7 linked regions of the Rattus norvegicus genome follow. The main gene of each other region encodes a partner of the protein of the gene in region 4 in a complex. Links are inferred from orthologs where the notes say so. Each region holds a gene or a part of one and is shown on either strand. Other genes may lie near its edges. The genes, in order: Morf4l1, Meaf6, Morf4l2, Epc1, Kat5, Ruvbl1 and Vps72.

Region 1 (3,953 bases), on a different chromosome or scaffold from region 4:
TCTTGGAAAAAATAATGAAAAATTAGTCTCAGGAGATAGAGTCTGTGAGTTCATGGTCAGCCCAGTCTACATGGCCAGGTCCAGGCAAGCCAGGGAGATATATAGATAGATATATAGATATGGATATAGAGATAGATATAGATAGATGTAGATGTAGATACAGATATATAGATATAGTAAGACTCTGTCTAAAAGAGAAAAGGCTTGGGCAGAAAGGTTTGCCTAGGATAGTTAGGTAGCTGTAAACTGTGGAGGGACTTCAAGTATCAGGACAACTATTTTCAGACTTATCTCCTAGTTAACAGCTCTAAGCCTCTGCGTGCACTTTATGTAATTCTGTGGGTATAGGGGTACGCTATTTTTACAGCAGAGTACACTAAGGAGTTTTTGAACATAGGAACGGTGTGAAAAAAAGGTTTTTTGTTTTTATTTGTTTTGCTTTTTCAGATTGAGTATGCATCTAATACTACCTCAAAGAAATAAGATTGCAGAGAGGTTAAATACGGAACCTTGACTTTGGCAGCAATCCGGGTTTGCCTCCTTCAGTGAGACCGAGTACTTCAGAAATCAGAAGCTGCAATCTACAAATGGTCCTGAGAACCGACCCCCCTACCCATCCCAACTCCCCCAATCAGGGCTTGGCTTTCCAAACGCTGAAGCTTCTTCTTGAGCAGACCACCTTCCCACTCGCCTCTAGCTTCCTTTCTGGATTTCAAAGCTCTCCTAGGCCAAGTCCTGGTGATGCCTTGGAACTCAGGCTGCAGAGACAGTCCTGTCCTCAGGCCACTTCAACACCCCACCACATCTCTGGGGCCTCATTTCATAACTAAGCATCTGCCCCATGAGCCTTTTCTATCCGTTCACCGCTAGCTAGTGATTTACTTATTTCTTTCTCCTTGTCACCAACAGAAAATCAAATCTGGGTTGTAACAAGCCTCTGAGGTCTGGATACTCAGGGGACTGGGGTTGGGGGATTGCGGGCGCGGGGCGGGGGGGGGGTATCTCCCGCTCCCCTCCCCCATTGCTCGCGTCAGTGGAGGCTGAACTACCAATCCCGGCGTGCCTCGGGGGCGGCACGGGCGCAGGCTTGTGTGCGCGGCGGGTAGCCGTTGGCTGAGGAGGCGGCTGCGCCGGTCGCTGTGCTGTGAGGTCAGACGGCGCTGGCAAATCGCGCCCAGGATGTAGAGCTGGCTGTTCCCGACGGCGCGTCTGACGCTAAATTGGGTGGGGTAGAGAGTAGGGGGCGGTAGTCGGGGGTGGTGGGAGAAGGAGGAGGCGGCGAATCACTTATAAATGGCGCCCAAGCAGGACCCGAAGCCTAAATTCCAGGAGGGTGAGTGTGCAGCTTTGGGAAAAGGGACCTAACGGTGCAGGGGAGGGAGGCTGACTTGGAGCTGTTGAGGTTTGGGGGTCGGGGTCGGCGTGGCTCGAGGCCTGGGGAAACTGCGGGCCTGGCTTTGTAGGGGGGGGGGAGGCGCATTGCGGTGGGTAACTTCAGTGCGTCATTTGGCGACAGTGCTTCGTGGCGCGAAAGCGAGCCTCCGGCACAGGCAAAGCCGAAGGATCCCCGTGCGTATGGCAAAGCCTCGTCGCTTGTTTGTTTTTCTGCGAGCAGAGAAAGTCTATTGTAGGGAGGTGCCCGGAGGGCGAGCGATGGCGACGGTTAGGAAGTGATGTGGCGTGGGGGAGGGGAGCAGCGACAGCCCATCCCCGCGCTTAACTCTCGGCCATCGGCCGCGCGGGTGACTGTGGGCTGAAGGTTCGAGGCTGTTGGACACTGGGGCTATCTCAGCGTTCTGTGGAGTTCTACTGTAGGAGGACACGGGGGGTGGGCTGTGCGCCCCGCGGCGGGAGAACTGCGTTATAAAATGGCCGCGGCAACATGGCCGCGCCATCATGGCTGCCGGCGTCTCGCAGCTACGCGCAGCTTCGGGCCAGATGGAGCGCCCCCTGGCATGGAGATCACGCTCATTGCCTCCTCTTGCCTCTTGAGTGATGGGTGGGGACAGAAAAAAAAATAATAAACTTGAGCCGCCCGAGCGAGTTCCTAGGCTCGCTGTTGCCTGAGGGCATCGTTTTGCTGGTTTTGGAGTGCTCTCCGAAGCCGTTGTTCGTGAAAACAATTTTCAGTTCCTCCTTAGGGCGTTTCCGTTTAGAGGTCCTTGGCCACGTTGTCATTTTTAAATACAGTAGTTGCTTGACTGGTTGTAATAGTACTCGATTAATGGCGATTTGAAAGCTAACGCTTATTGACTTTGATTAGAACAGTGTTGCTGAACTACGGTACTAACAGTGGAAAGCAGTTACTCAGTTCTCACAACTCATTCTGTCCAGGTGGTTTATTTGGCATACTAAAGGGAATAAAACTATAAGCATAAAGAGGAACACTTTAAACTTTTTACTGCTAGCAATGTCTGTATGTGCTTGTTATACATGCTGGGTCCAGCTTGCATAACAAGTTTCAAGTGCCACCAAATAGAAACGTTTTAACTAATCGATGTACATAAGAGAGTATTGCAGGGGTATTTTAGTGCGGCCTCTTAATATTTTTCTCCCACTTTGAGACCATTCATTGTTTTTCTAGGTGTTTTGGAGAAAGCTTTTTGTTTTTTGTTTTTTTGAGACAAGTCTTGGTATGTAGCCCCAGCTACTGTATTGATCTTCCTTGTCTTAGTCTTTAGAGTATAGCAGCTAAGTCTTGTTTGCCGTATCCTGTACGTTCGCTCAATATTATATAATTATAATGACACTTAAAATAGTTTTGAGGGGCTGGAGAGACCAAGTACTTCCTAAGGCAAGCATGAGGACCCGAGCTTGGAACCCTAGCAAGCAGTTTTAAAAGCTTGTTTACTTCCGGTTGTGTTGGTGTGCACGTTAATTCAAAGCATTCAGGAGGCAAGGGAGGGTGGAACTCTGGGTCTGAGGCCATCCTTGATACTTAGAGCTACGTAGGACATCCAGAACTATACAGAAACTCCTTTGCGTATGGAGGTGTGTGTGTGTGTATGTGTGTGTGTGGTGTTGCTCTATACCCAGCAGGGGTTGGAGGGGTGGAGAACTGCAGCAGCAGGTAGATGGAGACCTCTGTAGCTCATTGGCCGGCAGCCTACTAATGTGTGAGTTAAAGTGAGAAACTGTCTAAAAAAGTGAAGAGTTAGTACTGTGGCAGACATTAAACTGGTTGGCCCTCACTTGTAGAAAGATGGTGTACCCTGTAGTTTTGCTAACTCTACTAAGTTGTTTTCCTTAGTAATGCCATGTTTTAGGTATCAAAGCATGCCAAGAGGCTCATAGGCTTCTCCAGGTTGTCAGAACAAACACAAAAGCGTAATCCTTGCTTAATGTTAGAAACTAGAAATCAAGAATGGTTGTTTTGAAAGAAATGCTTTCTTTCTGAAGGAGACAGTGCCAAAGTGAGGTGGATAAAGGCAAACCAGAAGGATGGTGTTGGTGTAGTTGGAGAAGAGTAGGAACAAAGGCTAGGTTGTGAAAGCCTGGTAAATCTCTGCTTTACCATTATTTCCCAGCTGTGGATTCCAGGTGTAGCTGGGTGTGATACCTAAAATTCTGTCCAGCATTACAGAAGCAGAGGCAGGAGGCTGACCAGCCCAGGGGTACATAAGATGACCCTGTCTCAGAAAACAAAACCAAACCGAAGAAATCCAAGCTAAGATAATATGGGTATCTTTTTAAAATTGTATAAAAGACATGTTCGGTCCTCACCTTGGCTAATTCATAGGGCCTATGTGGTAGAGGTAAAGAACTGTCTCCCACAAGTTGTCATCTGACCTCCACATATTTACAGTGGCATGTATACATACATTTACTCCCCACCCCATAGTAGATAAAAACCCAGAGAACATCCAGAAAGGAAACAGTGTTGATTGGATTATTTTGAAATCTTGGTAGAATTTTGATAGTGAAAGGTGGTAAATATACATTTTGTGTATGTG
Region 2 (3,500 bases), on a different chromosome or scaffold from region 4:
ACCTGACTTGCATATAAGAATTTCTGCCACCCACAACCTGAGGGTTCTGCCACTGTCCCAGGCATCTCCACGCCAACCAAGTCCCGCCCAGCAGGTGAGGACTCTGGGTGGGACCCTGCCACTAACCTGTGCCGGTTTTTATTCTTCCGCTTTTTGTGGCTGCTGTGGTGGCTCCCTGAGGAGGTGGAAGAGGCAGCTTTCTGAGGCTTCACTCCCTGAACGGAGCCGTCCAGGTCTTCAGGGTCCTCCTGCGCAGGCTCGTTTTCCTGATTGTGGAAGTCTGGGGAAGTATCGCTTTCCGTCCCACTTCCTGGTTCCCCTAGAGGAAAGAGAACAGGCCCCAAAAGCCTGATCAGTGTTCCTGAGTCCCTGTCATCCACAAAGGTTTTCCCTTGAGGAACACGCGCTCAACGCACCAAAGCTAGGGAGTCCCTGAAGTCCACGTGGTCTGCATCAGCTCTGAGGACAGAGGTGACCGCAGCTCAGAGCATCGCCCTCTACATAAGGGACACTTCAATATGGGGCACGCTGAAGAGAGGCAGGGACACCTTGGCAAAACTGACAAACCATCAGAGAATCCCGTCTTTCTATAAAGAGTTGGTGGGGGATGAGCTAGAGAAATGACCCTGAGATTAAGAGCAGGTACTGCTCGTGCAGAGGACCAGAGTCTAATTCCCAGAAGCCATGTCATAAGGCTCACCTGCTGGAATGCAGCTCCAGGAGATCCAACACCTCTGGCCTCCTTGGGTACCTGCACTCACATGCACACACACACCCCACCCCGACACATACATATGATCTAAAGAGTAAATTCAAAAAAGAAAAGAAAAGGTACCCACTGGGAAGCAGAGTCTAGCCCATCCCTCAATTACTGAGGTCGTGGACATTTTTTTTTGGAGGGGAGACAGATACGGTCTCATGTGAATCCAGGCCGTGAGGTGAGTTCACAGGGCCTGTAGAAGTGAGAGGAAATCGATCTCCCAGAGCTGTCAGACACAGGCGATGGGAACCGGCCAGGGTCCTCTGTAGAAGCAGCAAGCGTCCTTAACAACCGCATCTCTCCGGCTCCCCCTCCTTTATCTTTCTAAAACTACATTTTGCTTATTTGTGTATATGTCGGGGTGGGGGTGCTGCAGCAGGGTGGTTTCAATGGACCTGTCCCCGCAGGCCCAGGGCTTTGAATACCTGCTGTCTAGGTAGTGGAGCTGCTTGGAGAGCGAATAACCTGCAGAAGGAAGCCACTAAGGCTGGGCAGGGGTGGGGGTCTCACCCCACTTCTTGCTCTCTCTCTCCTTCAAGTGCGACAAAATATAACCAGCCAGCTTCCTACACAGGGAACCCATTCTTGGACCATAAAGGAAGCCAAGATAAACTTTCCTCTGTAAGTCACTTCTGGTCATGGTATTTCCTCACTGCCATACACAGTAATTAACATCCACAGCAAGTAAAAGGAGGTCAGGGAACAGCTTAGGAGAACCGGCTCTCCCCGTTCACCTCTCAGGGAGCAGACTCAGGGTTAGCCACATGCTTACCTACTCAAGCATGAGCTTCTGGTCTTCCCGACCCCGGCTCCCGAGTGCTGAGATTACAGGGATGTCCCACCATGAGTTTTCCCCTGCCTTTGGCAATCTTGGGTACAGTAAGCTAGACCATCAGCCCAGGAATGCCTGAATGAAGTAGTAATTAATGTTCAACTGACATAAATCACCAGTTTCAAAACAGCATTTCAACAGTCAGGCTGGGTGGCACATGCCTATAATCCTGGCACTTGGGAAGGTGAGAGGACATCTCAAGCTCAAGGACAGCCTGGGCTACATAAAAAACTACTACTACTACTACTACTTCTTCTTCTTCTTCTTCTTCTTCTTCTTCTTCTTCTTCTTCTTCTTCTTCTTCTTCTTCCTCTTCCTCTTCCTCTTCTTCATCATCATCATCAAAATCACTTGGATATATTTACACAGAAGCATGCATGTTCAAGAACATCTCATAAATACTGTCTTAGGGTAGGGTGGCTACAGAGTAAAGCACTCACACAGCATGAACTAAGCCCAGGGTCAATCCTTGCACCCAACAGGTAGGAAGGAGGAAAGAAGAAGCAGGAGAAGGCAGGGCATCAGACGCAGGAAGCCCCAAGTCCATGACTAGCCTGAGCTACAGAAAAAAAGAGTTCCATGGCGTGGGCCCCCGCCCTCTGCCTTTGCTCCCCCCAGTGCTCGGGTCACAGCTGTGTATCACCATGTCCAGCTTCTGGAAACCATCACTAGATAAGGACAGGGAGAGACCCGAATTCTACTCAACTACTAATGGACCCAAATACATTAGTATTTGTCCCTAAAGATGGTCAGAAGGGTCTGTGTCTGCAGGAAGGTCAGGGGTCAGTGTTTTCCCTTCTGCCTTTACATTAGCATTTTTTAAATATGTAGCCACCAGAAGCAGCAGAGGCAAAAACAAAACAAACAAAAAGCAGAAGGAGGTTGAAACAGGAGAATCACCGTCAAGGTTAAGGCCAGCCTGGTCTACATATCAAGTTCTGGGTCTGTCAAAACTACAAAGGGACACCCTGTCTGAAAATAAAAAGCAGGAAGAGGGCTGAGCGGATGGCTCAGTGGGTGAAACATTTGTATGTAGTGCAAGGACCTAAATTTGGATTTCCAGAATCTACATAAAGCTGGACACAGACGCACACGCCTATAACTCATCTCCTGTAGGGTATAGGGTCCTAAGACGGGAAAATCCCTGGGAGCCCCGGGCCAGCATGCTGGCTTATACAATGCAGTGGAGAATAAGAAGAGACTGTCTCATCTCATGAAGGAGAGAAAAGACTAACATCTGAGGTTGTCCTTCAGGATTCACACAAGCACCACAAAGTACACGTGCACACGCACACACACAAACACAGAGAAAGAGAGAGAGAGAGAGAGACAGACAGACAGACAGACAGACAGACAAACTAAAAGATAAAACAGAGAGCTAGAGAGACGACTCAGTGGTTAAGAGCACTGACTGCTCTTCCAGAGGTCCTGAGTTCAAATCCCAGCAACCACATGGTGGCTCACAACCATCTGTAATGGGATCTGATGCCCTCTTCTGGTGTGTCTGAAGACAGCTACAGGGTACTTATATAAATAAGTAAATAATTTTTTAAAAAAGAAAAACAGAGGGATTGGGGATTTAGCTCAGTGGTAGAGCACTTGCCTAGCAAGCACAAGGCCCTGGGTTCGGTCCCCAGCTCCGAAAAAAAGAAAAAAAAAAAAAAAAAAGAAAAACAGAGAAGTGTTAGCACAGTAGCATCCACCTGTAATTCCAGGGCTGGGAAAGCCAAGGAGGGAAGATCAGGAATTCAAGACCAGCCTGAACTACATCTCAAAACCACAGTCAAACAAATAGCAAACACACAAAACGTAAAAGCAGACGAGACCAGCAAGAAGGGCGAGCAGGTGGAAGCGTCCCTGTGCAGACCTGAGACCACATGGTCGGAAGTAAATTTCTTGGTCGGGAGA
Region 3 (3,500 bases), on a different chromosome or scaffold from region 4:
GCTGGAACAGCTGCTTCTGCCTAGTAACCAAGTCCCAATCTTCCACCAGCCATGGTTTTAATTCTTCAGGGATCTTCACCTTCACCTCCATCCTACTCTTGAATGCTTCCTCGCTCTCCACAGTGGGGTCAGCCCGTGCCCTTTTCTTCCGAGGAGGCTGGGGGACTTCACTGGTACTGCCACCGTCTCCGTTGCCAGGAGTCTTCTGCTTGTTCTTCCTTGTCTTCCGCACAGAACCAGAAGGGGGGTTCTCAGCAGAGCGACCTCCCCATCTTCCTGGGAGGGCTGGATCAAGATTCTTCGGCTGCGAACCAGCTGACTTCTTTCCTGAGGCAGCTCCTCTCATCTTACTTCTCTGCATATTGCTGCGAGTGGGTTTCTTAAAGTTGTCTTCTTCAGCAGATTGTTGTCCACGAGTTTGAGAAGCCTGCTTTCTGGAACTCATTCAACCCTGTTTTTATTCCAACCACTGTAATACATAAAGTATTGTATTTGGTTGTTTACTATGGTGATTTTATGACCCATCAGACCACAACATATGCTAAAGTCTGTTGGAATATAGATTTCAGGTCCTATTTCAGAGGACCATTTATAAATGCTTTTCTGTTTTCTATCTCAAAATTCTATCCTAATGCCCACAACTCTTGCCTCACCTAATAATTCAATAAACACGCCCACAAATATATCTCTTGATGCTATTTAAAAGATAGGGATTTAATTTTAGAGAAATTTTAGAGATAGAAGGAAGCAGAGTTGAAATGCAAGACTTTGGAACAAGAATAAGAATTTGAAAGGAATAAGGAAGTTGGAGGTGAATTAACAGAAAAGGTTTGTGTATACAGGTCTAGGTAGGCCTTGAGTAGTTCGATGGCACAGAATTCACACAGAGGAATGCAATGATCAAAGGTTAGAGTCAAAATGGGCTCTGCACGACTGAGCCTGGGTAGTTTTAGTAAAGCACAGATTTTTTTTTAAGGATTTGTCTGACACTGTCAGAAAACAAGATTAGTCCACTGATAGTTACATGCATAAAAGATCTCTTTTAGTAACTTTAGAAGAGATGAGAAACTGAGAAAGGAGTTACTGACAACTTTCAGGCTTTAAGGATGGATGACCATCACCATCAAATGAGATGGTATTTATATAAACTGCTTAGAGGAGAAAGGTGATTAGTTTTGGACTTTTTATTATCTTCAGTGTGCACTCAAAGAGAGAATGTTCAAACTCAGAGTAAAGAAATGGAGATTTCTTATCGTGTAGCTTATAGCACACACTATGAACCAGTGAACCTCTTCACTGAAGAAAAAACAGGCAGAATTTCAGACATAGAATTCCAGAAAATGTAAAGAACAAAAAAGTATTTGAGGAGTTAGCAAGAGACCACAGATTAAATGGTGAGCCCTCCATCGGAGAGTAAGAAGATATGTGACTTTGGAAGATAAAGAGGTTGAGTTTCAAGAGAAACAATATTCAGTGAAAATGAATTAAAAAACAAGCCTCCTGCTTCGATGGCTGACTCATTCGACAACCCCTTGACTTACACAATGTTCCTTCTCTCCCTTCCAAGGATTCCTAGTAATCTCCCAGATGGAATCTTACAGATCTCCTAGGATGGTCTGGAAAGATGAAGTGGGAATACAACCTAGAAAGGAAAGTAGGGATATGCAATGAAGATGAACTTTTACAAAATCATGTAAGAAAAAGTTACAAATGTGCCTTACATATAGGAAGGAAAATAGTGTGTGATCTGCAAAATGGAACTGAAGACATGTATATTCAAGCACAAGAAACTATTCCTAGTTGCTATAGGCTACTATAAGAATGTCATGTTACTGAACAGCTAGCATAGTACCGCACATGACCATTTCTACATGTGAATGAGGGCGGTTCACTAAAGTAGCACGAGCAATGAGGAACTGCAGACATTTACAGCTTCAGCAGGGAAAGGGTGATACAAATTACACATGCACACTACAGAATACCCAAGTGACTTAAGCAGAGGCCTATCTACATACTGACACTGAAAACTGTTTAATGTCCTTAGGTAAATGGGTTAGTAGCACAGCTCTTATTAACAGTGTGATTCCATTTGTCTTAAATGAGTGTGCAAATGTGTAAAACATGAGTCTGTTACATATTCAGGGTACCCCCTTCCCCGAGTAAAGGATGGCATTCCAGCTTTAATTTACCAAGGACCACCTCAAAAAACAAAATCCATGTGTGAATGGGGAGTGGGTTTCTGTTTACAGTGCTCTGGAGGACCATAACCCATTTTTCTTAAGAGATCAACACCTACTAAAATAAGCAGGTGTTTTGGAGGCTGCTGAGGTCTGGGGATGTAAGCCAGTAGTAGAGCATTTGCCTTGGTCATCAGTACTTCCTTACCAAGGAACTTATTAGCACATAGTGTGGTCCTAAAATTTTGAATCCACTTTGTGGGTCCTTCCTTCCAATCCCCCACTACTAAACATTGTTCAGTTCAGTTAGCATACCTACTCTACTCCAGACTTCCTCTCCCTCACTTAAATACAATAAAAGTCCTACCACAGGGCTTGTGTTATAACCTTGGATCTTCTGCAGAAGCACAGAGACTAGTAGAAAATTTTTCTAATCAATCTCTAAAGTTAGCTCAAGAATAATCCAGAAAAGTATCATTTTTTAGGTTTGTGAGGTAAGCACGTATTATTAAATCTTAGCTCTCACTTTAAAAAAAAATCATTGAAAGAAAACTATGTTCCCATAGTTATGTTAAGGTTATGAAATACACCTTTTAGGCCATGACATTTGTTTCACTCCTGGCTGATTTATTTAGCGGAGCAAGGTATAAACACATTTAAGGCTTTTACCCTGGTGCTAAATTGCTTACCCTTCAAAAACTCTAACTTAAAATGAGCAATCACACCACAGCACACCCTTTGGTAAGCATCAGCAAGCTAACCTTCATTCTTTTCTGCTCTACCACTGAGTTACATTGCCAACCTTCAATAGCTTTAAAAGACACTTATTGTTGTCCAATTTGCACCTGTGTTAACAGAAATCTACCCCCCCATTTGTATATGCCTTTGTCCTTTTGAGTTGGCTCTTGGTAAATTTATCATTTTCTAGGATCTCTTCAAATTATTTTTGACCAATGCTTTCCCTTGGAGGGCTCTTTAGTGTCTGATGTTAAAGGTTTTTAATGCTCCCAGCTCCACTGTTGTAGACAGTGTTCCAAATGTCATTATTACAAAAAGAACCAATACTAGACATCAATGCATAACTATATTAAGACCACTAGGTAAGTTATCTCTGAAGGATATATTCCAAGAGGAATTAAAGGTAGTTGCCTACATAGAAGCTTTTGTGATGTAGCCCAATTTATCTCAGAACTGTTTTAATATGTATTCCTAGCCAAAACCATGTTAAGTTCATTCTTCCATCTTCAACCACACTAAAGATAAGCAAGCATTTTACTAATTCAACTATACCTCAATCTTCAAACACCCCTTTCACCACAAAAA
Region 4 (2,253 bases):
ACAGACTTCGGGTTCCCACAGCGCACTGAGTCACCAAGTAACTGCTGCCAACTCTGCAACAACTCAGGTTCTGTTTGGGAACAACATCCGATTAACTGTCCCCTCATCTGTCCCCACTGTCAACTCTATCGCCCCAATAAACGCACGGCATATACCTAGGACTTTAAGTGCTGTTCCGCCATCTGCCTTAAAGCTGGCTGCTGCAGCAAACTGTCAAGTTTCCAAGGTCCCCTCCTCATCCTCTGTAGATTCAGTTCCAAGGTGAGTAGTTCTTTGAAGATTAAATGTCTGAAATGTAAACACCTAACTTGCCTCCTGAAGTGGCTATCCACCTAAGTCTTCTCTTCTTTTCCTTTTGTGTATTGAATATATATGGATATATATATATGAATACATGAATGAACCTTCGCTTACTCAAGAACTAAGCAAGCGGATGTAATAATTCAGTGTTGGTTGAATTCAGTCTTAAGACCAGGCCAGTCCACTCACTGGGACAGTCAGTGTTGCTTCTGGGGCCCGGACCTCCCCTAATTGAGCAGTAGCCTCGAGTGTCGTCACTCTTGTGTGGCTTTGGTGGAGGGAGGCCTCTTTAGGTGCTGTCATGCTGTTGATGGATCTCATCGGTGGCTTACTGTGGGGTAGACTTGGTAAAGCCTCCTTCGCCAGTCTGCTCGCTACTCATTGTGGAAATGCTGGCAGGCCTGCTGACATCTAATAAGCCGTGGCTTTCTCTGCTCACTGACCTTCTTGATTTCAGGAGTTTAAGGTTTTTGTCAAGGTTCCATTTTAACTATAACTATTAATTTAACTCTGTATTAACTAATTAAAATCCTATTGCTACAAAGTACTAGGAGAAAAGAAACAAAGACCTGCATTATTCAGATTAGCAAGAAATAAGCTTAAAACATGAATGTGGGTGTTAAAACAGTGCAGGTAATAGACAGAAGCCCTTCTAGGTTTGTCTCAGATCAGCGTGTGTTGCCCAGTTCATTGTATTGACAGTTGCTCTTGTTTTAAAACCGAATTGTGTGTTCTATGAAATATCAGACCCCACTTGATTGGGTGAAGAGAATGTGTATCATAAGTTTGAGTGGGCAAAGCAGAAATAAAAATTGGAGAAGATGGTGCTTAGCGGTTAACATTGCTGCCTAGAAGGCCAGTGCTATGCTTAGACCAACACTGAGACTTCAGCAGAGAGCGTTCGGGAGAGCAGCTGTGCAGGAGCTCACTTTGCACACCCACAGGCCCTGTCTACATTTATCTGTTCAGTACCAGGAACGCATTGTTGGTCTGATCATGGCTGATCAGTGGACTAGTTCTCCTCTTCCACATCACCAATCATGACTTTCATTGCTGTAGAACATGACAAATATGGGGACATTTACAGTAGATGGGACTTCTCATATCCCTGTCTTTACCCAGTGTTCCAGTCCTGTGTCTGTCTCACTTAGTGATGTTGATTGAGACCTAGATTTAAAGTCCCATCGTGAATTTTGGACATATTTGTGTCTGTGCTGGGTTGTTAAGAATTTTGGACATATTTGTGTCTGTGCTGGATGATTGTTAAGAATTTTGGACATATTTGTGTCTGTGCTGGATGATTGTTAAGAATTTTGGACATATTTGTGTCTGTGCTGGATGATTGTTAAGAATTTTGGACATATTTGTGTCTGTGCTGGATTGTTAAGAATTGTGGAGATATTTGTGTCTGTGCTGGATGATTGTTAAGAAAAGCTTTGGGTTGGGAGGAGGAGCTCCTCCGTGGGCAGAGGCGCTTGCCGTCAAGCCTGACAGCCCGCGTTGGTCCGTTGTATCGTGTGGTGGAAGAAGAGAAGCAGTCCTGCAGCTTGCCTCTGACTACACAACGTAATTGTGTAAAGGCCGAAAAAGAGTTCAGGGCCAAAGAGAACTACTCAGTGCTTGCCAGTACACGCAGGAGCAGCTGAGTTCATAATCCACATTTTTAAAGAAGCTTCACGTGTTGAGTGCATGACCCTACATTGTGGGGGTTACAGGAAAGGAAGGGATCAACTCCATGAACTTCAGCTTCTCTCAGAAATTAAGGTGAAGACGGATAGAAGTGACACTCGCCATCCACTTGTGGCCTCCATGTGCACGCACATGTGTGTACACACTCACACACATCCCAAAACGATGATAAAGGTTTGGGGCTAACATGATGGCTCCATGGGTAAAGGCCCTTGCCACCAAACCCATCAAGCTACGCTTGATCCCAGAACCTATGTGGTGGAA
Region 5 (2,403 bases), on a different chromosome or scaffold from region 4:
GTCCAGATGCCAAAGTGCATAGGGCCCTAGGTTGGCCCAGCCTTGCTGCAGCGGTACGTATACTCAAGGGCTCTTTTCCCCTCAGGCTTGGTCGCACTTAGCACTAGCTTTGAATCGTGTCTCTAGTATTTGGGGTTCTAGGGGCAAATAAGCACCACAGGGATCATGGCTCCAGAGGTCCAGACTAGGGACTGGTGGGAGGCATTCCCCACTTTTCTCTTAGAAGGGGCTGTCACCCTGAGCAGCTGGGTTCCCACCCAACTGCTGTGTATTATAAATCACAAAGCAGAAGTGACTCCTGTTGCAGATTCACGCACAGGTGCCAGAGGACTGAGAGCCAGAGCATGAAAATGAAAGTCACAGAGCCCTTCACACCACTTTGGAGCCACTGTTTCTATCCCAATAAATGAGATCTTCACAACACCTGAGTCTGTGGGCACCTTACCACCCTGAAGCTGGCATTGCATGGCACCCAGTCTGGCAAGAACTCCTGATCGCTCTGCCTATAAAAACAATTTATTTCTGGGGGCAGGGAGGGCCAGAACTTTGCAACCAGCGCCCACCCCACCCTCCAGCTCCTCCTTTACAAAAGAAATTTTTACAGTCACCAGTCCTGTACAGATGCTCCCCACCCGCCTTAGTGTACACAGCTGCCTGGGTCCCCCTGGTCCCTGTGTTCAGAGCGGACCTGAGCCAACAAGCCAGCTATCCTTGGAGTCGGCCTAGACCTGAGCTCGCTTTGGTACTGGCCACTAGTTGGCCCCTCCTAGGCCTCTTCTTCTTTTGGGTCTGTCCTTTGGCCTGTCTCCCTTTGCATGACTCTTCGAAGCTCGAATGGGATACGACAGGATGACAGCCGTGTTCAGCTGGCTTTCGCGGTGTTGCAGTGAGAGTGTGTGTGTCACCACTTTCCTCTCTTGCTCCAGTCTTTGGGAGTGAAGTGCAGACACTTGGAGTCAATTCGAAGGAGCCGCTTGAGCATAGCCCGCTCATGCCCATCCACGATGTCTTCTGACAGAGTGAGGATATACTGGCCCTGAGCAAAAGACAGACCCAGCTCATGGTCAGTCGCAGAGCCTGCATCCTGGTACCCCTCACCTATCCCCTAAGCACGCCTCCTGACCTTGTAGTAATTGATGAGATTGAGATACTGCAGTGTGGAAATGACATCTTCTTTCTTGATACTAGTGATTTCACTGATCTCACTGGGGAGGGGGAGGGTGAAAGTTAAGTCCCCGAGGGTATTCATCTGTCCCCAGAAACCCCAGGGACAGACAGGCCATACCACAAACCCCCAGGTGGACATTTGGGCTCACTTGATGGTGATCTGTGGTCTCTCCCCACTCTCCGACTTCAGCCCCATCAGGATCTCCAAGATGGTTTGGGACCAGTAACTTCGGTAGGATAGAAGGCCAAGATCTGACAGGGGTTTCTCAGGAGTTCCTGTCTTCCCTTCTACTTTCGAGAGTTCATAGCCTAAAGCAACGAATGGAGCACAAGAGGAGGAGTAAGTGGTGTGTACACAGCAGCATGTAAGAGGGACTGTGGAGCTGGGCTGCCTGGGTGCCTGTCTCACACTTACTCTTGTTGATGGATCAGCAGCTTCCCTGCTGGCTGTGTAGGGGAGCCAGCCAAAGGCAGCTAGAACAGCAGCTATGACTGGGTACTTGTCAGCCAGTGGAAGCTGATGGATGGAGTGCTATGTTCTCCACTGCCCTGCCAGCCTGTGTCTGGGTGTATGGTGGTAGTGAGGGAGCCCTTTGTGGTTTGAGGCCATGGGGACCTTTTCAGTGTCACCAGTTTAACTAGCTGTGATCCTGGGCATGTCAGCTGCTCTCAGCAGAATGGGCTGGGTGCTTAAAGACATAATAGGAAAGGGCCTCCTCAGAGCCAGGCACCTGACCCTTAGTGGCCCTTTCCCTTGCTGGTGTTGCTTGTGTCTGGCACTGCCAGACAGTTCCTGAGACTGTTAGGCCCTGCAGAGCTGACAATGCTTTGTCAGGGCTCTGGGGATGTCCCTATTAGTTTGGAGATACCCTTCCTTACTCTTGGGTATACAGGCCTCATGATGCTCCCCACACTTTCTGCTCCTAGCTACATCTCTCTTGGTGGTCCCGTCCTCTTTGCTCAAGCACCCGTGGACAAAAAGGGCGGGAAAGGCTGGTGTCTGGAAAGCAGCAGCCCAGAAGGGGAGAGAGCTACTGGATCCCCACAGTAAGCACTCCCATGAATCCCCAGGATGCCATATACCTCTATAGTCAGGAGCCCTGTTCAATGATTGCTCCCACCCTTTTATCAATCTGTTGGCATTTCTGTGTCCTACTAGGCAAAAGTAGGTATATCTCGTTTGCCCTTTGAGTTTCCTCTCGCCTGCTCTAATCAGTGAGGTACTCCAAAGAGACC
Region 6 (4,235 bases), on a different chromosome or scaffold from region 4:
CAAGGCCCTGGGTTCGGTCCCCAGCTCCAGAAAAAAAGGGAAAGAAAAGGAAAAAAAAAAAAAAGAGAGAGAGAAAATGAATGAATACCTTGCCAGTTCCAGGAGGCCCTGCCAACAAGACAGCTCTTCCAGCCATTTTCTTGCTTTTGATTAATTCGACTATGACACCACATGCCTGCACAAAACAGAAAGAAACAATCAGTCAATCTTAAAATGCTTCATGGTAGAAACAGTTCAGGGCTTGGTCCACACAGTTCCGATGCTCTTCTGACAGGACACCACTGCTGTGGGGTGGAGCGGTGGGGGTGAGCCACGTGCTCTAGCTCATGCCATATGATGGCTCCCACAAAGAGAGAAGCAAAATGAGACACTGAGCAGCTAGGGAGAGCTGGGGCGGAGGGGGCTTTCTCATAACCTTGTATGTAACATTTGAAGCCCCGGGCAGAAATCTACATTTCAGGCAAAAATTGCAAATTGAAAATAACCAAAGTACAAGTTTGATATGTCTAAGGGTCAACATGCTGCAGCTACCAAAGTATAGTGAACAGAAGGGAAAGGGGAGGTTGAGGCAGGCAGGAGCCAACACAGACCTAGTACTTAACAAAAGCAGCAGGGCTGTGCATTCCAGGCCAGTTTGGCTACGGCAACATTATCTAAACAAAAAGGGTGTGCTATGAATCCAACCAATAAGAGTTGGAAAGAGCTGGTGAGATGCTCAGTGGGTAAAAAGCACCTGCAGTGTAAACCTTAGTTCAATCCCTGGATCCCACAATGGAAGGAGGAACCTCTGACCTCTACCCAAACACCATGGCAGGCCTATAACTGCACAGCCTACGCACACATTGTGTCAAATAGGAAAAGAAAGAGATACCAGCTAAGGAAGCCAGGTGCATAGTAAAGGCCCACGCCTTTAATCTCAGCACTCAGGAGGCAGAGGCGGATGGATCCCTGTGAACTCAAGGCCAGCAGGGTCTACAGAGTCTCAGGACAGCCAGAGCTAAAAGTGAGACCCTGTCGTGAAAACAAACATACAAAAATAAATACCAGAGTGTGGCTGCAGTGGTCCACACTACTCTCTGAGTTTCGCCATGCTGCCCAAAGACGACAAGAAGAAGAAGGATGCCGGAAAGTCGGCCAAAAAAGACAAGGACCCAGTAAATAAATCTGGTGGCAAGGCCAAAAAGAAGAAGTGGTCCAAAGGCAAAGTTCGGGACAAGCTGAACAATCTCATCCTGTTTGACAAAGCTACTTACGACAAACTTTGTAAGGAAGTTCCCAACTATAAGCTTATTACTCCAGCTGTGGTCTCCGAGAGACTGAAGATTCGAGGTTCCTTGGCCAGGGCAGCCCTTCAGGAGCTACTTAGTAAAGGACTTATCAAGCTGGTTTCAAAGCACAGAGCCCAAGTAATTTACACCAGAAACACAAAGGGTGGAGATGCCCCAGCTGCTGGTGAAGATGCATAAACAGATTGAATCAGCTGTACATTTGGGAAAATAAAACTTTATTGAATCAAAAAAATAAAAAATAAAAAAAATAAATAAATACCAGCTAATGACAATAATAATAAGGGTGAAGATACTGAGTACCAGGGAGGCTGCTAGCGTGATTGGCCAAACAAGAACCCAGTGCAGAGGCAGGTCTAGAACAGACTCTGAAGTCACATACAATCCAGTATCTATCCTGGCCATTTCACTTGAGGTGAGTGTCCTCAGATTTATTTTACCTAACACCTATTACTCATCTGACTCCGAGTGTTCAAAACAACTGTACCCACAAGGAAGGGCTTATGTGCAAAGTGGGCTGATGTCCACAGTTTACTCTGACTTGTGACGGTAGACATACATGAACAGATATACCATAAAGCATCACTGTAAAATGTTAACTGTAGAATTTTGGCACACTGGGATTTAATGTGCAAACATGTCAATGTTTCTGTGTGCTTAGAAACATCAGACCAAAGTGAGGTTTATTAGACAGAAATGAAATAACAGACAATAAAGCCGCCTGACAAATAGAAAGCATTAAACTATTGCTTGCAAAAAAAGATGCAAGTGAGCTAGGGTCAAACGTTTCCCTTTTGGATAGATGATGCTCTTGAGGCTGGGAAAGCAGTCTTCACCACATATAAACAGCAAGTTTTTGTAGATACTGAGTCTCTGCAGGGATCAAAGTGGAGCAGTCTGAGGAAATGGGAAGAGTAATCATTTGGGGTGGGGTCGGGAGAATACCAGCCTCATTACTGCTGAACTGGCAGGTGGTTAAGCGACCTGGCCCACCTTTAATTTCTTCGTGTGCAAAACAGAACCGATCGAAAGACCTGGCATAACTTCCAATGACTTTAAGAAGACTGAACTGGAAAAGCTAGAGTGCTTGGATGGGGAATAGGTCATAGTGTTCCTCCTCACCGCTCCACTTAACAGATCAGCTCCCAGGCCTAAAGAACCCATATCAACTCCGAAAATTTAGTCAATTCTACATTTAATCCCACAGCTTTCCACTGTGTTTCCGGTGAGGCCTAATTTGCCTGCCGTGACCCTTGCTGGCTAATGTGATCCTCACTTCTCAGACAAATCTTAGTGAGACCTGGTCCCGCCGCCCACACCGCGTGCACACGCCCCACGCCCACCTCTCTCGCGTTCTCCTGGCCCACGAGCCCCGAAGCCGCCTGCTTGGCCAGGCCGCTCTCATCCAGCCCCAGCCCCTTCACGTGGCTGTGGGAGGCAATGCGTTGCGTCTTCGTGGTGCTCTTCACCTCCTCAATCTTCATTTTGACGAGTGTGTGCAGCCACAACCTGCGTGGAGACTAGGAACTACGGCACGCCAGGCGCCTGGGTTACCACGCGGCCGTTACTAGGCCGCTCTCCAGGACCCGCCCTTATTAGTACGCCATTGGTTGAAGCGAAAAGACTTCGTTTTCTATTGGCTACAAGCTACGCTTGTCGGCGGCTGAGTTTCACCCACCAACTTCCGTCTGTGTCACAGGTTAGGTTCCCCCAGGGCAGGCATTTCCTGCCCTGGCCAGGTTTGACTGGGAACCGTCAGATTCTTAAGCGCTATTAATGTGAATGGCAGGTTTTTAATTATAAACTCCTCTTTTAATGCTTTTTTTCTTTAGTATAAGATGTTTATGCCAGGGTGAGTTGACTCCTTCACTGACAATTATTAGACCTTTCCCAGGTGCTTGGATGTCCTGAGAGAACTATCAACGAAGCAGCTGCCCAAAGTTCTCCCACTCACACCTAATTTAGACACCCCAAGGATGCCCTGAGGAAGCTGCCCAGCCAACCACTCTTTTCCAGCCCATTTTTTCCAGAATACACTAGATCCTGAAGGCACTATTCCAGCCCAAACTTTTCAAACACTTTATGTCATGATTTTGATCATCACATGCCCAAGAAACTTTTAAAAAAGAAGAGAAGGTGTCTCTGCCTCCTGAGTTGCTGGGATTAAAGGTGCTGCCACCATACTCTGACCAGCCATTTTCACCTGTCTTGAGTGGGTACAGTTCTCCAGGTAGCCAAACAAAAACTGCCTGTGACTTGTGAAGAAACATGGCCCTTTATTTGAATAAGCAACTGTTTGGTTATTGGTGCAAACATGGTAGTCCATTTCCACAACCCACTGTACCATAGTGTAAATTTAATGCTTCATTTGCATGGAGGGCTGTACTAAGGACAGCAAACATTCTTGTTTACCCTCTGACATTCTGGCATTCTAAGCAGGTGCCCCTCACTTTTAAGTCAGCCAGGAGACACCCTCCTGTGCTGTACAATGTACAGTTGTGTTGTAACATTAGTCCCATTGTAAGATTTCTCCAGTGGTCTATCCACCTGGATTAATAGTATGGTGGACTGAGCTGGTAATATGAAGACATGCCGAGTGGCTATAGCAGTGAAGACAGTGATAAAAGGCAGCTAGTGAGTTCTAGAGTGACTGGGAACAGAAGTGACAAGTGACAGGCAGCCGAGAAACCAAAGGCAGAGATTGCTAGACAAGTTCCAGGGAGTGCCAAGTCTTTTCATTTTTGTAATCTATCCATATGGGTGTTTTGCCCACAGGTGTGAACGCACCATGCAGTGCTCAAGGAGGTCAGAACAGGGTGTCAGATCCCCAGGAACTGAAGTTACAGATGGTTGTGAGCCATCATATGGGTATTGGGAATTGAATTTGAGTCCTTTATAAGGACAGCCAGTGCTCTTAACTGCAGACTCATTTCTTCAGCCAGGGAGCTT
Region 7 (3,500 bases), on a different chromosome or scaffold from region 4:
TTTCTAACTTGTCCCCAGGAGCCTCTAAAGAGCTTGAGGCCTCGCAAGGTCAGTACCCCAGCAAGCAGCTCCCAGAAGGCCAGAGAGGAGAAGACGCTGCTGCCACTGGAGCTACAGGACGATGGCTCTGACAGTGAGTTTACATCTGCTGACCACATTTAATTGTGATGATTAAATGTTCTGTCTGCATTAGGTTGAAGTTGATAACCATTGTTTTGTAAAGAGAATCCTAGTGTGTGTGTGTGTGTGTGTGTGTCTGCCTGTCTGCTTGGGTGTATGTGCACTTGTATGTGCAGATGTGTACAGAGGCCAAAAGAGTTAGTTACAGACTTGTTCCGTGTGTGCCGTGTGAGCCACTGTCTCAGCTCCAGTGGTCATAAGCGCTCAGAAAACACTTTCAACACCACTGAGCCAGCTCTTCAGCCCCAAAAAAATCCTTATTCTTAGAAATAGTTCTGGGCCAGATGGTTCAGGCTTGTAAACAACAATTACTCAAAAGGCTGCCAGCAGGAGAGTAACAAGTTCAAGGCCATCCTGTGCTACACAGCAAGTTAAAGCTGGCCCCAACCACTTAGTGAGACTGTCTAGAAATAAAAACATGAAGACCAACATCTCAGAATGTAAAGATGTTGGTTGCCAAGCCTGAGCTCTGTCCCCAAGATCCATGTGGTTTAAGGAGAGAACCAACTCCTGAAAATTCTCTGATTTTCACATGTGCTGCCCTCCCAAATATTATTTAAAAAATTAAGGTATTGGGGTTGGGGATTTAGCTCAGTGGTAGAGCGCTTGCCTAGGAAGCGCAAGGCCCTGGGTTCGGTCCCCAGCTCCGAAAAAAAAAAAAATTAAGGTATTAATAAAATATAACATGAGAAGGTCTAGGGATGTAGCTTACTGGTAGAGAATTTAATCCCCAATAACACAAAAAATAAAAATACTAAATTCTTTAAGAGAAAGCTGTGTACAACTTAACTTTTTTTTTTTTTTTAATATAACCTGAGTCATTAAAAGTACTAGGAATCTACGGAATGGAATGAATGGGGTGTGCTGTTCATAGTAGGTGATGTGATTAAGATTAAAGGCTGTAGGCATTATTTGTATTATTCTTGCTAAATTTGTTTTTTAGTAAGCTTAAATTGTTTAAAAAAATTTTTTTAAAATAGCTAAGAAAGTAGCCTTGCAGTACTGGCACACTCCTTTAATCCCAGCCCTAAAGAGGCAGAGTTCAAGGGCGGCCTGGTCTACAGTACAAGTTCTGGATGACCAGAGTTACACAGAGAAGGGTCTTAAAGCCCCTTCCATCACCCCACCCCACCCCACCCCAACAAAAAAGAAAAGAAAACAAAAAGAAGCTAGAAATGTGCTGGCTGTGGTGGGCAGGCCTCTGATCCCAGCGCTCCAGAGGCAGAGGCCCGAGCAGCTCTGAGTTCGAGGTCAGATGCTCACAGAGTGAAGTCCAGGACAGCCAGAGCTACACAGTCAGAACGTACTTTTTTTTTTTTTTTTAAAGAAAAAGAAGAGAACAAAGTAGAAATGAGTTGAAAACTCTCTTCCAATCTCACTTTTTGTAGGCCGCAAGTCCATGCGTCAGTCTACAGCTGAACACACACGACAGACGTTCCTTCGGGTTCAAGAGAGGCAAGGACAGTCCCGGAGGCGGAAGGGTCCGCACTGTGAACGACCACTAACCCAGGAAGAGCTGCTCAGGGAGGCCAAGATCACTGAAGAGCTCAACTTACGTTCACTCGGTCAGTCTGGTTTGGGAAAGTAGGTACAGACACTGAGGTGCGTGAGACCAGAGACCTGGAAAAATGGAGATTTAAAGCAGAATAATTAGAAAGTTCGTACTTAATATTCCCAGCATTGGGGAGTTCAAAGCCAGCCTGGTCTACTTAATCAGTTTCTGCCTAGCCAAGACTATGTATATGGAGCCCGTCTTGAAACATGCAAAGGGAAATAAACACACAAAAAGAAGAAATGAGTGTGTAATAGGAGAGGGTACTAGGCATCTGGAGTCTTGGTGGGGTTTGGGGGTGGGGAGAGTGTCAGTTTGATTGAGGTCCAGTTGGTATAAAATAACGGTTGGCTGGTTTTTCCTTTTCTGAGAGAAAGCAGTAGCTCCAGTCAGACACAGGCCAGACACAGTGGTAGAGATCCATGAGCTCAGTGTATGGAAGGTAGAAACAGGAGAGTCAGGCACTCAAGGCCAGCCTGGATTATGGGAGTCCCAACTCTATGAGTCAGGGAGAGATTTCTAGGGGGGCTCTGGCCAGATTTGAGAGGACTGTGTCCACAGCGCCCACATGGAGAAACAGTGTGGTTCATTCAGGGGTAAAGGACCAGAGGAGTCGTGATCTGTTTATTCACTAACAGATGTGCATGCAGTGTTGCATGGTCCTGATAATGTGTAGCTAATGTGAGTTACTATGCCCTTCATGGTGCAAACAGCTATACCAACATTGAACTGACAGTGTGCCACCAGATCTAAGCACTAACACAGTGTAGCCAGCCATGGGAACTGAGGGGGTTACAGAGAAATTCCTGAAAAGAGTCACTTAGGTTAGCTTTTTTTTGCCCTTTTAGAATGCAGACTTGGAGGCTGGAGAGATGACTCAGTGGTTAAGAGAACTGACTGCTCTTCCAGAGGTCCTGAGTTCAATTCCCAACAACCACATGGTGGCTCACAACCATCTATAATGGGATCTGGAGCCTTCTTCTGCCCTGCAGGCATACATGCAGGCGGAACGCTGTGTACATAATAAATAATTTTTAAAAAGATATGCAGACGCAGCTGGGCAGTGGTTGTACACACACCTTTTATCTCCGCACTTGGGAGGCAGAGGCGGGCAGATCTCTGAGTTCCAGGACAGCCAAAGCCACACAGAGAAACCCTATCTCAAAAAACAAAAAAGAAAACATGAAAACGAAAGCAAAAACAAAATCACAGGACAGAGCCCAGAGAGATGCCATAGCTCAGCAGGTGAAGGCACTTGGTGACAGCCCTGTTGTCCCGAGTTCAGTTCCTGGAATCCACGTGATATGAGCAGAGAACTGACTCCAGCATGTTGTCATCTGACCTCTCCATATGTGTGTTCACGTACATACACTCTCATAAGTACACAAGAGAATTTAAATAGACCTCGGGACAGAGTGTAGGAAAAGGGAAACTGACCATTCTATCATGTCTCCCTTTGATCCTGAAGAGACCTATGAAAGGCTTGAGGCTGACAAAAAGAAGCAGGTTCACAAGAAGCGGAAGTGCCCTGGGCCAATAATCACCTACCATTCAGTGACGGTGCCACTTGTTGGGGAGCCAGGTCCCAAGGAAGAGAATGTGGATGTGGAAGGGTGAGTGAAGCCCGTGTTCCTGGCCTCTCTTAGAGCTCACTTTCCTCACAGCACATATTCAGACCTCAGCTCATTCCTGGCTTGTGCTGGAGTCTGCTAGCACGAGTTGAATAGTCTCTGAGTGGGGCATGAGGATGATTAAAGAAAAGGCAGAA

Evidence for each region.
Region 1: Epc1 (region 4) and Morf4l1 share a complex: the UniProt entries of both Homo sapiens proteins name them as parts of the nuA4 histone acetyltransferase complex. The link is inferred for Rattus norvegicus from reciprocal best matches to the Homo sapiens genes EPC1 and MORF4L1.
Region 2: Epc1 (region 4) and Meaf6 share a complex: the UniProt entries of both Homo sapiens proteins name them as parts of the nuA4 histone acetyltransferase complex. The link is inferred for Rattus norvegicus from reciprocal best matches to the Homo sapiens genes EPC1 and MEAF6.
Region 3: Epc1 (region 4) and Morf4l2 share a complex: the UniProt entries of both Homo sapiens proteins name them as parts of the nuA4 histone acetyltransferase complex. The link is inferred for Rattus norvegicus from reciprocal best matches to the Homo sapiens genes EPC1 and MORF4L2.
Region 5: Epc1 (region 4) and Kat5 share a complex: the UniProt entries of both Homo sapiens proteins name them as parts of the nuA4 histone acetyltransferase complex. The link is inferred for Rattus norvegicus from reciprocal best matches to the Homo sapiens genes EPC1 and KAT5.
Region 6: Epc1 (region 4) and Ruvbl1 share a complex: the UniProt entries of both Homo sapiens proteins name them as parts of the nuA4-related complex. The link is inferred for Rattus norvegicus from reciprocal best matches to the Homo sapiens genes EPC1 and RUVBL1.
Region 7: Epc1 (region 4) and Vps72 share a complex: the UniProt entries of both Homo sapiens proteins name them as parts of the nuA4-related complex. The link is inferred for Rattus norvegicus from reciprocal best matches to the Homo sapiens genes EPC1 and VPS72.

Annotation. Positions count from the first base shown.
Region 1 is NC_086026.1:99,541,532-99,545,484, reverse strand, and holds the start of Morf4l1 (mortality factor 4-like protein 1), read left to right. Parts: upstream 1-1,153; 5' UTR 1,154-1,293; coding exon 1,294-1,333; intron 1,334-1,486; exon of another isoform or gene 1,487-1,569; intron 1,570-3,953. UniProt on the Homo sapiens protein: Component of the NuA4 histone acetyltransferase (HAT) complex which is involved in transcriptional activation of select genes principally by acetylation of nucleosomal histones H4 and H2A.
Region 2 is NC_086023.1:142,642,935-142,646,434, reverse strand, and holds part of Meaf6 (chromatin modification-related protein MEAF6), read right to left. Parts: intron 320-3,500; coding exon 127-319; intron 1-126.
Region 3 is NC_086039.1:104,875,947-104,879,446, forward strand, and holds part of Morf4l2 (mortality factor 4-like protein 2), read right to left. Parts: intron 1,643-3,500; 5' UTR 1,542-1,642; intron 470-1,541; 5' UTR 446-469; coding exon 1-445. UniProt on the Homo sapiens protein: Component of the NuA4 histone acetyltransferase complex which is involved in transcriptional activation of select genes principally by acetylation of nucleosomal histone H4 and H2A.
Region 4 is NC_086035.1:59,200,267-59,202,519, reverse strand, and holds part of Epc1 (enhancer of polycomb homolog 1), read left to right. Parts: coding exon 1-261; intron 262-2,253. UniProt on the Homo sapiens protein: Component of the NuA4 histone acetyltransferase (HAT) complex, a multiprotein complex involved in transcriptional activation of select genes principally by acetylation of nucleosomal histones H4 and H2A.
Region 5 is NC_086019.1:212,324,589-212,326,991, forward strand, and holds the end of Kat5 (histone acetyltransferase KAT5), read right to left. Parts: intron 1,477-2,403; coding exon 1,317-1,476; intron 1,206-1,316; coding exon 1,124-1,205; intron 1,037-1,123; coding exon 902-1,036; 3' UTR 501-901; downstream 1-500. Other genes in the region: Rnaseh2c (ribonuclease H2 subunit C), read left to right, coding at 1-101. UniProt on the Homo sapiens protein: Catalytic subunit of the NuA4 histone acetyltransferase complex, a multiprotein complex involved in transcriptional activation of select genes principally by acetylation of nucleosomal histones H2A and H4.
Region 6 is NC_086022.1:122,488,319-122,492,553, reverse strand, and holds the start of Ruvbl1 (ruvB-like 1), read right to left. Parts: upstream 2,801-4,235; 5' UTR 2,771-2,800; coding exon 2,630-2,770; intron 1,546-2,629; exon of another isoform or gene 1,467-1,545; coding exon of another isoform or gene 1,089-1,466; exon of another isoform or gene 1,027-1,088; intron 176-1,026; coding exon 89-175; intron 1-88. Other genes in the region: Rps25l3 (small ribosomal subunit protein eS25-like), read left to right, coding at 1,089-1,466. UniProt on the Homo sapiens protein: Possesses single-stranded DNA-stimulated ATPase and ATP-dependent DNA helicase (3' to 5') activity; hexamerization is thought to be critical for ATP hydrolysis and adjacent subunits in the ring-like structure contribute to the ATPase activity.
Region 7 is NC_086020.1:185,374,138-185,377,637, forward strand, and holds part of Vps72 (vacuolar protein sorting-associated protein 72 homolog), read left to right. Parts: intron 1-18; coding exon 19-133; intron 134-1,568; coding exon 1,569-1,745; intron 1,746-3,200; coding exon 3,201-3,345; intron 3,346-3,500. UniProt on the Homo sapiens protein: Deposition-and-exchange histone chaperone specific for H2AZ1, specifically chaperones H2AZ1 and deposits it into nucleosomes.